Diceros bicornis minor: one gene and its partner. The protein of the gene in region 2 interacts with the protein of the main gene of each other region in a biochemical or structural test. Links are inferred from orthologs where the notes say so. Each region holds a gene or a part of one and is shown on either strand. Other genes may lie near its edges.

The links. The genes of interacting proteins can lie anywhere in the genome.
Region 1: of the proteins of tyrosine-protein kinase ZAP-70 (region 2) and LAT, one has a biochemical effect on the other in vitro, tested with the Homo sapiens proteins (2 studies listed by BioGRID). The link is inferred for Diceros bicornis minor from reciprocal best matches to the Homo sapiens genes ZAP70 and LAT.

The regions. Positions count from the first base shown.
Region 1 is NC_080765.1:22,226,400-22,233,775, reverse strand, and holds the start of LAT (linker for activation of T-cells family member 1), read right to left. Parts: upstream 3,014-7,376; 5' UTR 2,718-3,013; exon of another isoform or gene 2,424-2,717; coding exon 2,321-2,423; intron 2,137-2,320; coding exon 2,109-2,136; intron 1,997-2,108; coding exon 1,962-1,996; intron 1,709-1,961; coding exon 1,621-1,708; intron 1,490-1,620; coding exon 1,425-1,489; intron 1,336-1,424; coding exon 1,158-1,335; intron 1,086-1,157; coding exon 991-1,085; intron 1-990. Other genes in the region: SPNS1 (protein spinster homolog 1), read right to left, coding at 3,537-3,631, 3,899-4,070, 4,394-4,492, 4,753-4,818, 5,142-5,331, 5,658-5,813, 6,117-6,262, 7,063-7,129 and 1 more. UniProt on the Homo sapiens protein: Required for TCR (T-cell antigen receptor)- and pre-TCR-mediated signaling, both in mature T-cells and during their development.
Region 2 is NC_080779.1:15,567,038-15,574,166, forward strand, and holds the start of tyrosine-protein kinase ZAP-70, read right to left. Parts: upstream 3,011-7,129; 5' UTR 2,755-3,010; coding exon 2,741-2,754; intron 2,283-2,740; coding exon 2,186-2,282; intron 1,948-2,185; coding exon 1,868-1,947; intron 1-1,867. UniProt on the Homo sapiens protein: Tyrosine kinase that plays an essential role in regulation of the adaptive immune response. Regulates motility, adhesion and cytokine expression of mature T-cells, as well as thymocyte development.

The DNA of each region.
Region 1 (7,376 bases), on a different chromosome or scaffold from region 2:
TAAAATAGGGCAAGTAACAGCACCCACCTCGTGGGGTGTTTTGAGGATTATGGCAGTGAATGCTAAAACGGGGCCTGTCATACAGTAAGCGCTGCCATTGTACAGACGTGACAAGGGAGGCCAGGAGGGGAAGGGGCAGGCACAGCAGCACCTGGGCATTGTGAGGTTTAATAAGTCAACACATGGAAAACTCTTAGTAGGGCATGTGGTAGGCCCTCAACAAACATCAGCTCTTTTATCATGACTCTACCTCACGAGCTGTTGTATCAGAGGCACACAGTGAATACGATGAATGAATGAGTGAGTGAACGAATGAATGAATGAATGAAAAGAAGCACTTGGACAAGTGATCTGGAGCTCAGGAGAGAGGCACTGGGAATCTGTATGGCAAATGAAGCCAGGATGTAGAAGGGGTGGCCCAGAGTGAGTACAGAGAGAGAGGAGAGTAACAGAACCCTGAAGACCACCAGACATTGAGGAAAGCCTCTCACAGGCAGGATGAGACCAAAGTGAAGGGGGAACAGCAGCTCCAAGGAAACCAAAGCAATGCAGGAAGCAGAAGAACACTTCCAAAACAACTGCCCCCGGCAAAATGTATAATCAATACCCTTAGAAATGTACAAAATGATATTGCCTCCATGAAACAAGAACAGGAGGCTATGAAAAAGGAACAGTCAGAGATCAACAAAGAACTTTCAGATAGAAGAGAGAACATAAAAGAGCAGAATCAAGGAACGGAGTCAAAAGAAGAAGAAAGTCAAGGAAATCTCGCCAACAATAAAAGGAAAAGATAAAAAGATAGGAAAGAGAAGAGAAAAAGTAAGAAAATGAGATCGGAGCAGGAAGTCCACTCTCTGAAGAACAGGAGTTCTAGAAAGAGAGAGGAGAGAAAATGGAGGGTAGCAAGCATCAAAGAAATAACAGGAGAAGGAGAAGGGGAGGGGCCCCAGCACGGAGGGGCCAGGGAGGGGTCAGAAATGGCCGACTCACTGGAGAAGGCGCTGTCTCGGAGGCCGGGGTTTTTGGACGCAGGAGGTGGCGGGACGGCGGTGCCGGTGGCTGGGACAGTGTCAGGAAGCACCACTCTGTAAGGAAGTCAAGGGGTGTGTGAGCACGGACTCCCGGCCGCAGCCCCCACCTCCCGCCGGGCAACTCACAAGTAGCCCTCGTTGTGATAGTCTTCCTCATCCTCATCTTCATCCGCGTCCTCACAGGCTGGCTCTGGGGTAACGACACGGGGGTCGGCAAAGCCTGGGGCAGGCCTTAGCCTTCCCCTAGCCACGGCACCTGGGGTTCCAGAAGCACCCTCGTTCTCATAGCTCGCCACACTGTTGGCTGCAGAGAGAGAGTGAGGGAGACTGAGTCAGCTCAGGCGGGGCCTAGCCTATGTACAGCCCCAGCCCCCCAGGCCGCTCCACGCTTACCACCATCTGAGCCTTGCCGGGAAGATGGCATGCGGTGGGAGCCCCCGGGGGGCTGTGGGGATCTCCTGGGAGTCAAAGGTCAGAGGTTATGCTGGAGTGGGGCTCTGGGACAAGAGGGGTAACAACAGGGAAAGAGGCCCCAATCCAAGGAGGTGAGGGGTAAAGAGGAGACTCTGGAGAGGAACGGGCTACTTACGGGATGGGGAGCAGGTCTGGCTGGCTCAGGGGTGGGAAGGAGGTAACAGGCGGGTAGGAAGCGGCCGGTGGCCATGGGGCGAGCGTGGCTGAGGACACAGGACCAAGCTGAAGGAATGACTCCAACCTCATGCCCCTACCATCCTCGAGGCCTCAAAGGGCAGGCTAACCCCTGACACCCCTGGACAGGCCTGAGGCCACCCATCTCCCTCCCCATCCCCAGCTCAGGTCAAGGCCATGTGGACGCCACAGTGGGGGGTAACCTGAACAAAGGCACACGCTCTCTCACACCCCCGGGGACCCTCTCCCCTACTCGAGGGAGGAGACACCCCGTGTACTCACGAGGCCGTTTGATCACGATGCTGCTCGGGGTCAAGCTGGCAGGAAACACACAGCTAGGGGAAGGGCCGGGAGAGGCCCAGCCAGCCCCCCAGCCCAGCCCCGCATGAGTATTGAGGGAGACAGACACACGGTCGGGGGGCGACTCACCTATCAGAGGCAGCACTGTCATATGAGCCTGGAAAAGAGAGACAGGAAAAGGGGGTGACAAGGGGAAACGGTGATGGAGGCCGGGGCTCTCCGTATCTCCGTGTGCAGGACAGAGTTAGGGACAGTTAAAGACGGAGCAAGGGGTTGGGGGCAGGGTGAGGAGCCCTGTCAGTGTGTCCGAGCACCTGGCCACCTCGCCACCTCGCGCTCACCTGGCAGCTCTCGGCAGCGCACACACAGTGCCATCAGCAACACGGCCAAGAGAGGCAGCAGCAGGGGTCCCAGCACGGAGGGGATCAGGATGGCCGCCTCCATCTGCAGAAGAGAGCCTGGACCAGGCCTGGCTGTTCGCCGCACGCCCCTCAGGGGCAGAGCTGCAGCAGGGCGAGGACTGGGCCAGCAAGGTGCCGGGACCAGTGGGCACCAGGCAGGAGCCAGGTGGGGACAGCTGTGCCCTCCTTGGGGGCCCTGGATCCCCTCCTCTCACTGGACTGAGTGGGGGTCAGCGCTGGCTCTGGAAGACCCTTGATCCCCAGGCGGTCAGGCCAGGGCCTTGACTGGAGTCTGAGGCACCAGCCACCCTGCGCAGACCCTGCACCCCAGTCCTACCTGCCCCTCAGCTTGGCGCCCGCCTCTCCTCCTCGCCCGCCCGCCTGCGGCAGGAAGCTGTGGTGAGCGCCGGGTGAGGGCAGGAAATCATCGGGCTCCTCAGCCGGCTGCACCCGCCCCCTTCCCACCCCCACCCAGACAGTGGGGAGGGGGAGGAGGCCCGATGAGCCACCCCAGGCCCTCAAGAAGGCTCTGCCGGCCTCCAGGACAAGAGGCAACTATACCAGTGGCAGGAGGGAAGCCTGGCAGGCCAGCAGCCGCAGCCTTCAGCCGCGGCTCGAGGAGGCAGCAGGGAGGGAGGTTCTGACACCAGGAATCCCCGAGGGGCACAGGGCAGTGCCCACACCCCCTCCCCCTGGCCAGCCTGCCAAGAGGGGCGGGCTCTGGGGGAAACGTGGGCGTGACTCACCATCACACTGAGCCAGCTCACTCCACCCTCTCATTCACCCAGCCCCAAAGGGCAGGGATTTGCCCAAGGCCCCACAGGAGTGACCCAACAGCCCCCAGGGGGTCCTGGGGCTGCAGACATGGCATCCCCTGCAGTCCAGAGGTCAGAGATCGCTAGCACCGAGAGAGACTCAGCAGGCATTTGGGGTCTGGCTATAAATTTTATTTAGGTACAAATAGCACCGAGCCCCTCGGGCGGCTCCAGTGGAGGGGGACCCCATTCCCGGACCCCCCTGCCCCCTGCTTGGCTGCCTGTGTAGTGTCTAGGAGCTGGAACATGGCCCAAGGTCCCTCCCAGAAGCTGGGCCAGGCTGTGGGTTTGGGCCCGGGCACCTCCTGGGGTAGGTGTGCAGGTGGGCGAGCAACAACCCCTCAGATGAGCACACTGGACACGGGGACCCGGGTGGGGCGGCCTCGCTGGGGCACCACGATACGGTCATCTGCGGGCCCTGTCTCATGCAGCAGACCTGCCGGGAAGGGGTCAGAGCCAGGGCTGGAGGCAAAGATAGACACAAAGCCAGGGAGGGGACCGACAGGCAGCGGGCAATGGACTGGGCAGCAGAGCCACCAGGGCTGTGGACACAGGGGCATCAGCTTGTTGGACAGGCAGAGCTGAAGCCACATGAGGGGAGGGCTGTGGACTGAGGGATGACAGACACACAGGACCGAGCACACGGACGGATGGACAAGCAGGGCAAGGAGCTGTGGATGGACAGAGGGAAGGCGCAACTGACCCTGCACGTGCAGGTGGGCTCGCTGGCGGTCGCCCTCAATGAAGAGAGCGGTGCCCAGGAAGGCCGCACCCCCCAGCGCCCCAACGAAGGCGCAGAGCATGAGTGAGAACTGCAAGGCCCGGAACTCAGACAAGAAGGAGGGGGGCCAGCGCCGGCGGAGGCGGTCGGAGATCTGCCGGAGACAGGAGAGGAAGGCCAGGGGACGGGGTCAGGGAGAGAGAGCCCCCGAACTCCAGAGAACAAAGCCTGGAGCCAGGAAGGGCAGGAGGGCTGGTCCGCCAGGCGAGCTCCACGGCCTCACTGTGGGCATCTGCCAGGACAAAACCCTTCCTGACTAGTTGAGGACCCAAGGTGAGGGGGCCTGGCACAGAGGGCACAGACCCTAACTGGGACCTTCCAATGTGGCCCAGGCTCAGGCCAGTGACCACCAGCCGGTGCTAGGAATGCAGGGGCCCCCAACTCCCACCCCAGGCCCGGCCAAGGGGCAGTGCTCACCACGCCAATGAGGTAGGGGCTCCCAGCGTCACCCAACAGGTGGGACAGCACAATCTGGAAGGCCTCGGCGGTGGAGCGTCGTGTGGGGATCACCACGTACTGGGGGGAGGAGGGGCAGGAGGCAGAGGCTGAGGACAAGGCCAAGGCTCAGCCTAGGCTGAGGTCAGAGGTGAACCCTGGCTCAGAGGTGTGACTGGGGGGAAGGCTACAGACCCGTCTGGGGCTGGACTCTGAAGTCAGTCTGGGGCTGGTTTTGAAGATGAGGTCAAGGCCACAATTCAAGGAAAGTGAGGCCTGCTGCCCCCACTCCCTGCTCTCATTAGCCTCTGGGCTAACCCTGGAGCGGCCCGGCTACTCACCAGCAGAATGTCAGCCACAATGGCCCAGTTCATGGATAGCAGTGTCTCTCCGATAAAGATGAAAATCTGGGGGGTGGGGGGGGGTCCTCATCACAAGAAGAGCAAATACATGGAGGGTTTACCAGGTACCAGGCCCATCTGTTAACACATTTAATCCTCACAACAGGTGCTACTATCACTCCCATTTTACAGGTGATGAAACCCAGCACAGAGGTTAAGTACTTGCCCAATGTCACACAGCTGGGAAAGGCTGGAGCTGAGATGCAAAGCTGGGTATTCCTGCTCCAGAGTCGGCTCTGAACTGGCTGGCTGACCCCAGTCCTGCCCCAGTACCCCGTTCCTCCACCCTGTACCCGGAACACCCCCCTTGATACCTCTGGGCTACTCACATAGGTGGCCACGATGCTACCACGGGCACAGGCGAGGGACAGGAAGAGGAAGGGTGCGGAGCCCAGGAGGCCAGCAGCACAGACAAGCGGGTCAGCCCGGGGGTTGGAGCGGCGGAGGCGGCGGCTGACCTCCACGCCCAGGCCCACACCCAGGACGCCAGTCACGCAGGTGATGAGCCCGAAGATGAGGCTGGGGGGAGTGGAGGGGGTGCGGGCTAGACCCTCTGGCTGCAAAGCCCCCTAGCCTCACCCCCACGGCCTGGAGAGGAAGATGGTCCATCCCAGCCACCCTCACAGCCCAGGTCTATCCAGGCACAGCACCCCACAGTTCACTAAGCTCAAAGAGGAAGGCGTCACCCCATCCCTGTTTCCCAGACCAGGACACTGAGACTCGGGGAGAGGAAGTAGCTTTGGGGTTGGGGCTCAAACTCTCCTTGCCTGAGTCTGAATCGCAGACTCTCTCCACTCCATCCCCTGCCGCTTGCAGGCCACCCAGCACAGCCCCAATCTGGGTACCTGTCAGAGGAAGAGCAGGAGTCTCCAGGAAGGCAGGGTGGGGTCTCCCCCAAGACCACACGGGAACGCAGCAAGAAGGCAGGAGCCCAAAGAGCCAGGGAGCCCGTGACGAAGGCCACAGCAGTGAAGCCAAGGGAAGACAGGATGAAACTGGGACTGCAGACAGTTGGGAGGAGAAGTCAGACTCCACTGAGGTGTTGGGGTAGGGGACCTCTGTTCTCCCTTCCTGACTTATTTTAATAAGGTCTGGGCCCCGGGTGAAGGCTGTCCTGGTGCCCAGGATCTGGGCCTGTAATTCAAGCTGCTGCCACAAGGAGGCAGTGGTGACTGAATTCCAGGCCCTGAGGTAGAGCCAGCTGGCATAAGAGAAAACAAAGACCACGCCCACTAAATCTCAAACTAGATGTCAGGCCTCCCTGGGGGGCCTCAGATGTTGGGTGAGAATGGAACTAAACTCACTTTCTTGCCAGAGCCCTCAGATCTGCCCACCATGAGGTGGGGCTCAGGGGCGGTGAGTCTGAGTGGCGCTCCACAGCTCCCCTCGGCGGCTCCCGTACTACTAGGAACAACAGCAGAACAGCCAGCACTCCTAGACCTGGTGTCACCTGGGGGAAGAGTGGGCTTCAGGACAGGCACAGGGAGGGACACACTCAACCTGGGGCTGGGAGAAAGTGAGGGGGTATTAAGGCAACTCAGGCCTCAAGACCTCAAACAGCCAGGTGAGTGCCTGTTCAGGGAAGCTAAACTTACAACTGGGGGGAGGGGCAAATGCCACTAGGGGCCCCGTGTCTGCAAGCCTAGCTGCTCCCTCTTTGGTAACAGTACTCTAATTTTCTTCTAGGAAACCACTCTGCCTTCTCTCAATCCATGTAGTTCAAACAGGGCGGGGCTTGTAATCCAGACTTGGCCAACAAGAGTAGTGTTACCCTCCCCAGCCTCAGTGACTGATTCAGTGGCAGGCATGTGACCCATGTTCATTTAATCAGACACCATGTAGGACTACTGCCCAAGGATCCAGGGTGCTGATGCTTCTAAATAGGAATACAAACATGTGGAGCTTTCCCTTGCTTGAGAATGAAGTTAACACAGAGGAAAGCAGAGCTGAGAAAAGGATGATCAAATTCCTGTGACAGTGGGTGAGTCCTGGATCCAGCTTTACCTGAAGCTCACCCTGGGACTTTCCATTATGAGAGCCAAGAAAGTCCCATTTTGGGGCTTACAGTTTTTCAATGGGCTTCTGTCACCTGCAACCAAGAGTTCTAGCACATGGCTTCATGGTGAGGGCAGCCAGGCTTCCTGAAGGCTTGCAAGAGTGAGACTGCCTCAAAAGAGGGGGTGTCTGAAGGTAGGAAACGGGGATCAGTGAGAATGTTCCTGACCTTCGGCAGGCCGTGACCAGACTCACCCTCAGAGCCCAGTGCCAGTCCCCGGCCACATCCTTCACTTTGGAGCCTGCAATGTAACCCAGACCACTGGGGGAAGGGAGTGGGAGAGGAGAGGAGACAGCTGGTCAGTCGCGTCCCCCACGCCAGGCCCTTCTGCCTCCCCATCAGGCCCAAGGCCCACTCACCTGCCCACTGGGATGGCAAAGTAGAAGACGCTGAGCATCCGACTCCGCTGGTCTGCCACGAAGAGGTCAGCGATGAGAGTGGGCGCGATGGTGGAGTAACTGGCCTCCCCGACCCCCACCAGGCCCCGGGTCAGGAGGAGCAGCCAGAA
Region 2 (7,129 bases):
CTCTCTCACCCAGCAGCCGGCACTAACCACTCCAGGGAATGTGCATCGGGAGAGCAGAAGCCACGGCCCCGAGCTGGCACCCAGGGGCTCTCATGTCCCCACAGAGCCCAGGCTGACCCAGGTGTCGCTGCCCTTTGAGCTGCCTTTGACTGTCAGGGCCCAGACTGCTGGGCTGTTGGGGGGCAGGGGCAGGTCCCCACGTCCAGCAGACTCTCTCAGTGTCTGTGGATTGACTGAACAATGCTACAAGACCAGTCCCCCGCCCCAACCTCTGCTGCCTAGGTTCTAAGGGCTGTGTGACCTCAGCCAGGAACTTTCCCTCTCTGAGTGTCAAGCTCTGTGATTGTAAAAGGGAGATGGGGAAAGGCTTAGGGGATGGAAAAGGTGGGACGAGTCGGGGGACGGCGCCTGATAGAGAGGTGGGGACAGCACGGCGCTGTCCTGTGCATTGTAGTTGTTCGCCGCATTGCTGGCCTCTATCTGCTAGATGCCGTAACACCCTGAGTCATGACCAAAATGTCCCCAGACGTTATGGAATGTCCCTGGGGGAGCAGGGGAGGGAGGGAAAATTGGCTCCAGTGAGAACCGCTGCCTCAACCCTACACTTCGGGGTGGGGCAGGAGGGCCAGCAGGGCCAGCAGGCTGCAGCCCCAGGAGAGTCTCCAGGAGCCATCAAGTCCAGAGCCCAAGACCGCCCGGAGCTGGTAATGATAATGAGGATTATAGCGAGATGTTTATATAGTGCCTACTATGCACCAGATGCTCTAGAGGTAGTCACTCGCCCAATCCTCGAGAGAACCCTGTGAGTGGAGGACGTGTGGATTCGGGACCTGAAGCACACAGAGGTGGAGTGACCTGCCCGAGGTCACACAGCACACACAGTAGGTGGCAGAGCCAGGACTCGAATCTGGGCTGCCTGGCTCCAGAGGGTACACGGAAACACCATCCAGGCTGCCTGCCCGCCCTGTGTTCCTGCCAGGGTGCGGGCGTGGGGCTGGGGACGGGCGACAGAAGGAAGAGAAGCTCTGCAGCGGCGAAGGAGAGGAGCCTTCACATGTGGCCCCTAGGACCGTCCATCCCAGGAGTCCCTGACCCTAATCTCTCAGCAAAGCTTTATTAAGCACCTACTGTGTGCACGCTGCCCCGGCTGAGATGAGAGTCATGATGACACTTATCTTGAGTTGTTCCCACATGACCCCTGTTCCTTCCTGCCAAGACTCTTTCCTGCCTGGGATGCCTTCCCCGACCACTGGCCCAACAGCCAGGAGCCAATATTTGCATCTGCATTTAACAGATGTGCAAACTGAGGCTCAGAGAGGCCAAGCAACTTGCCAAGGACACACAGCGGTTGAGCAGGATTCAAGCTGTTTGCTCCTTCACCTCTCCGGGCCCCCCTTTAACCTGAGCTCCCCTACAGGTGGCTCGAGCCTGCCCTGGGCCCCCTCACGGCAATCATCGGCGTTTTGTCGTTCCAGTTCACCGCCCTGCCAAGCCACCCTCATATTCACGGGGCCGGGGGGAGGGGGGGCGGTGGGTGGGTGACAGACCACACGTTTGTTTTCTCTGGAGGTTTCTCTGCTTCCTGGAGCCACAGATGCCACCCTGATGGGGCCCAAGGAGGCCAAGGGCTGAGCAGACACCTCTGTGTCCCCTGGACAACACCGCTCTGCTGACGGTCTGGAGGGGAGCTGCTTCCCTCAGGGTGGCACAAACCATGTCTGCTTCCTTCTCCAGCTGGACACCACCCATCCCAGTGCTACAGCCCTCCTGGTCCTCCCCAGTGGCCTCATGACTCTGTCCTCCTCCAACAGACCCAGGCCACCCCTGGAGAAGGCAGCCAGCGGCCGCTCTATCCAGGATGACTTACCTGGAGATGTGCAGACGGGCGTCGAGCCAAACAGGCCACCTGCAAGGTCTGTGGTCCCCAACGCCGACAGACAGCAGGTTCTAGGTGAAGAATTGGGACCCAGAAAACCAACTTGCATTTCTCTGCAGCCTGAGCCCCCAGCCTGAGGCCCCCCGGTTCACCCCCATTCACACACGCAGGCAAGGTATAAGGAGGTCACACCCCACGAGGGTTTCTCGCTCAGCGGGAATTTTATTCACCCTCTGCCACTGCCCCAGAGTCCCCTGTGGTGGCCGTGGCTGCAGGACAGAGGCAGAGGGCCGGAGGATGGCCACTCACCTGGACGCAGCGGCAGAGCGCGGAGGCCCAGGCTGGGCAGGGAGCCGGGCCGGAAGGCCTGCTGTGCTCCTGGCGGCGGGTTTCTCTGAAACTCAACCTATTTCCGCGATGCGAAGACAGGAAAGGGGGCTGCGTTTGAAGTTTGCGTCAAAGTTACAAAGTGCTGCGTTCAAGGAAAATCGGGGCCACGTGCTCGGGGAGGGCAGAGGGCATTTCCGGGGCCAAGCAGGGCGAGCCCACGCTGGGGACCCGAGGCTGGCTGCAGGCAGGGACGATGCAGAAACGATTCCAACAGCATCCCCAGACCTGGGGAGGGGGAGGAGGGGAGCTGTGTGTGCTGGATTTGGGGGGGCACTGGAGGTGGGAGGAGGATCCCCAGGCCTCATTGGAAACTGGAATGCCCCCACTTTCCCCGCCCAAGGGGGCGTCGATCCGGGGCCTGCCCCTGGCTGAACTGCTCATAAGGGTGATTTATTTATTCCACAAACAGGTTAAAGCTGGAGAGAGGAGAAACCTACTAAATAATTCCATACCTCAAAGGTTCTGAGGACCTACCATGTGCCAGGCATCGGGACAGCAATGACAGCCCTGTCTCTGCCCTCAAAGTGCTCACAGGCTAGAGGAGGAGGCGGCTGAGGCAACAGGGAGACCAGGGCTGGGACGGCGGAAGCCTGGCCTCTGTGTGTACCCAGAGGAGCCCAGTGCAGCCTGGGGGTGCCAGGGAAGGATTCTGAGAGGAATCGGTCGTATTGTCAAGATCAGTGCCCATCCAATCCCAGCTCGGCCCTCTCGGACCTTCCCCACACGCTGGCCCTGGCTAAGCACCACCTTCTGCTCTGGCCACAGCCCCTTCCTCACGCTCCTTTCCTCCCTTCCCTCACACCCGCCCACCCCCGTGATGGCCCCCACGCCCCTCTGACCAGGTGGCCACGCCTCACACTTGTCCCTCAGTGGCCTACAGAGCGGCTCTGCTGCACAGCCAGTGCCCGTCTCCGACGTCCACTTCACCCCATCTCTTCCTCCCTCGCCCCAAGGCCTCTGGGCCTCTCTCACCCCCTCTTCCTTGCCCTCTGGGGCCTGGGGGGTTTTTTCAGCAGCTGGCCCCCCAGTGGAGCCCCAGGGACCTGTGTGGGGCTGTCCCAAGCCCACTGCTGAGACCCTAAGAACCTTTCCTCTCTGGTTCTGCCACCCCGGGGGACGTGGGCTCGGCTCCCCAGCCTGCCTGATGTCTTCTCTACGCTGCAGCCCAGGTCTCCTCTCCTGGGGACCCCCTCCGCAGTCTCTACTATCCCCCAGTTCCCTAACCCCCCTCTCCCCACTCAGGAAATCTTTTTTCTAAGCTCCAGGCTGGGGAACTTTTCTCCTACCTAGATTTCCTCCCAAACTGTTTTTGTTAAAAGGCTTCCCTTTCCCCACAGGCATCATGAAACTCAAGATGCAGAAAAAAAAACAGTCACTTTCCATACTGGAAACTCCTTTCTTGGGGTAATGAGAGAAGAATGATGCGGCAGAGTGAAGGGAGGAGAAACCAGAACACCAGAGCCACATAATCTACAACATAGTAGCACTACTGTGTGCCAGACAACAGCTGTAAACAGTTTACAATTGAATCCATGGAACCCACTTAACCCATTTTCCAGATTAGGTAAGTGAAGCCCGGAGAGGTTAAATAACAGATCCAAGGGGCCAGGCGGGACTGGAGCGAGCAGCCCTCAGCCCAGGCGCCGGTGGGCAGTGGAGGAAGGAACCTCGACTGCACAGCAGCTCCCGCGGCGCCTCCAGAGGGCCGGGAGGTGAGCGGGCTGCGTGTGGGGCTTCCAGTCTCCGGGGTCTTCAGGCCTGAGAAGACGACTCTCAGCCTCTGCGAGGCCCCGAACCCCCTTCCGGTCCCGGAGGCCGCGTCCTGAGACGCAGGCCCGGTGTGAGATCGGCCTGCGGATAAGACCGAGGCGCAGCCCAAGTGCAGGGAGGTGGACGGTCCTTGGATCGTGCGGAGGAAAGAGCGCGAGGACGAAACCGTGGGCCGGGGAAGTTGCGGCGCGCCTGCCCGGGGGTGGGCTTGGGTGAATGCTCCCTCAGAGCACGCAGGGCCTTGGAAGAAATTGATTGCTCACTCCCACGCCTCCGGGGCTTTGCCCACGCCGTGTCCCAGCCTGAACTCGCTGCCCCCACCTCAGCTGCCTGACTCCTCCTCCTCCTCCAGGGCAGTGAGCAAACGCGGCTTCCTCCAGGCAGCCTTCCCTCCCCAAACTGGGCGGGGTGGGGCTTTGAGTCCGTTTCACCTGACTTGTGAGCGGGCCAGATTTGGCCCCAGAGGCCCCAGACCTCTGGCAGGTGGGCTGGGGAGTGGAGAGCGCAATGAGCCCCAAAGCGGGGACAGCCGCTTCCCCGCAGGGCCCCTCCTGAGTTCCTTCCCACCTGGGCGTCCTAGCCATGCAGCTCACCTGCCTTTCCGTGGGGGGCGGGGGGCGCGGGGGGCGTGGTCAGGCAATGGTGACTTTTATCTCCTTATTATTCTTTTCTGGTTCTGCCACTTATAGCTGAAGGACCTTGAGCAAGTTACTTGATCTCTCTGTGCATTACTTTCCTCATTTAGGAAATAGGGATGAGAACGGTGCCTACCTCCTAGGGCTCTTGTGGAAACTAAAACAGACTTCAAAGCAAATGCTCCATTATTGCCATCATCATCATCATCATCACCACCACCACCATCTCTCTGGATTCTCCCACTTTTTATAATGTGCTGGTGACTGAATGTCCAGGGGCAGCAACGGGGTTGCCTTGCACCCTCCAGAGGCAGCTCTCCAATACTGCATCCTTCCCAGCGCAACTCAGGATCCCTAAGGTTGAAAGTGACACCACCCCTCTCAAAAAATAAATTTAATCCAACCTGGTTGAAATCAGAAGAGAATCGACTGGCTACAGCAGCCACATGCTGTGCCCTCCCCTGGGGGTCATCGAATGGCTGGCTCCTTAAACCTTCAAACCGCAAGGACAGTGTCACCTCTTCACATAGTCTGTTGGGAGCTCCCTATTTATTCAACACTGAGTACCTACCCTAGGCCAGATTCTGTTCTAGGCACTATGGATCTGTTGTGAACAATGCAGACAAAAATCTCTTCCCTCATGGAGCTGATATTTTAGTGGGGGAGATAGAGAAGTAACGTATAAGTATAGAGTGTATTAGGTGGTTTCAAGTGCGAGGAGTAAAATAAATCAGGAAAGGGTAGAAGAGGTGTGTGGGTGTGTGACTTCCAACAGAGGGGTCAGGGCCAGCCTCACTGAGGGGATAGTCTGTGAGGCAAGACTTGAAGGAAGTGCAGGAGGGAGCCATAGAGATGTCGGGGGAAGAGCATTCTAGGTAACAGGAACAGCAAGTGCAAAGGCCCTGGGGCAGGTCTGTGACCTCTGTGAGGTGGGAACTGCCTTGTTCCTGGCTGCATCCCCAGCGACAGGAGTGGCACTTGGCACATAATAGTGTTCAATAAATATGGCATGAAAAGCCCAGGTACGGGCTTTAGGAAAAGCTTGCTCAGGGCTCAAATGATGGCCCCAGAATTGTTACCTCCTCCACCTGTTGTCTTCATTCTCAGACAAGTTTCTCCTACGGTCCAAGACAGTTTCAAATCCCACTCAGGGAGCAAGAATCTATCTCTCAGCATTTCCAGCTAAAGTCCCAACACAGCTCACTGGCTGAGTGCATCACATGTCCGTCCCCCAACCAGTCGCTCAGGCCTGTGGAGGAGATGGGAGAACGGCTGAGGACCAGGTCACATGCCCTGCCCCACCACAGTGAGACGGAGGAGAAGAACCCCAAGAGAAGTCAGAGGCTATGGCTGGAAGGAGGGGAAAAGGATGCTGGGTAGGCAAAGGGCCAAAGTTTTGCAGAATAATCATAACAGCTGAGATTGGTTTATTCATTTATATTGACTACTGTGTGGTGGCGCCAGCTAAGGTGCGTCTAATGCTCACAACAGCCACATGAATAGGTTATAAAATAGGTTAGCCCTATTTTACAGTTACAGAAACTGAGGCCAAGAGGAAACTGAGGCTTGAGATTGCACAGCTAGTAAGTGGCAGAGCCTGGGATCGCCTGGCTCAAAGGGAGCCCAGAACTCCATTGGGCTCGACCCTGAAAACCCCCCCGTGCCGTCTGGCACCGCCTCTCACCAAGCCAGGGACAGGCTGGCTGGACCACCCGCTGAGCTGAAGGTGAAAGCCCTTAGCCTGAGAATGCAAAGGGGGCCACCTCTTTGATAGGGAAAGAGGGAAATGAAAGACAGTTCAGGGCAGGCTAGGTGGGCCGCAGGCAGTGGGGAGACTGCTGGCGGAGGCTGGAGGTGGCTGACCCTGATTTGTTCCTCAAATGGAAGCCTGAGGTAGGGGTGGGAGGCCAACAGGAGCGTGGGCTGCCTCTCAGGTCTGGGGTCGGTCCCGAGAGGTCAGGATGAGGGTGGGGATGCAACCTATCGGGAGCTCAAGGAAGAATCCAGTGTTCATGGTGCGCCTGCTGTATACCCAAGCCCTGGCAGCCACACCTCCTCCAAGCCCAGGAGGACGCCAGCAACCTGCTGTCAGGAAGGCTCCCCACGGTGACCCAGCGGCCAGCTCCGCACGGTGCCTGGCACACAGGAGGTGCTCGACAAATGTTGGCCGCTGAATGAGCCACCCAACGGCCCTGTAAAGGGGGTAAATTCCTGCTCCCATTGCCAAGATGAGGAAACTGAGGCTCAAAGAAGGTCAAGGCAAGAGCATTGGAGTCCAGGGGTCAGCCCAGTGGCGTTGTGGTTAAGTTCGCGGGCTCCGTTTCTGCAGCCCAGGGTTCACAGGTTTGGATCCCAGGCGTGGACCTGCTCACCGCTCATCAAGCCATGCTGTGGTGGCGTCCCACATATAAAAAATAGAGGAAGATGGGCATGGATGTTAGCGCAGGGCTAATCTTCC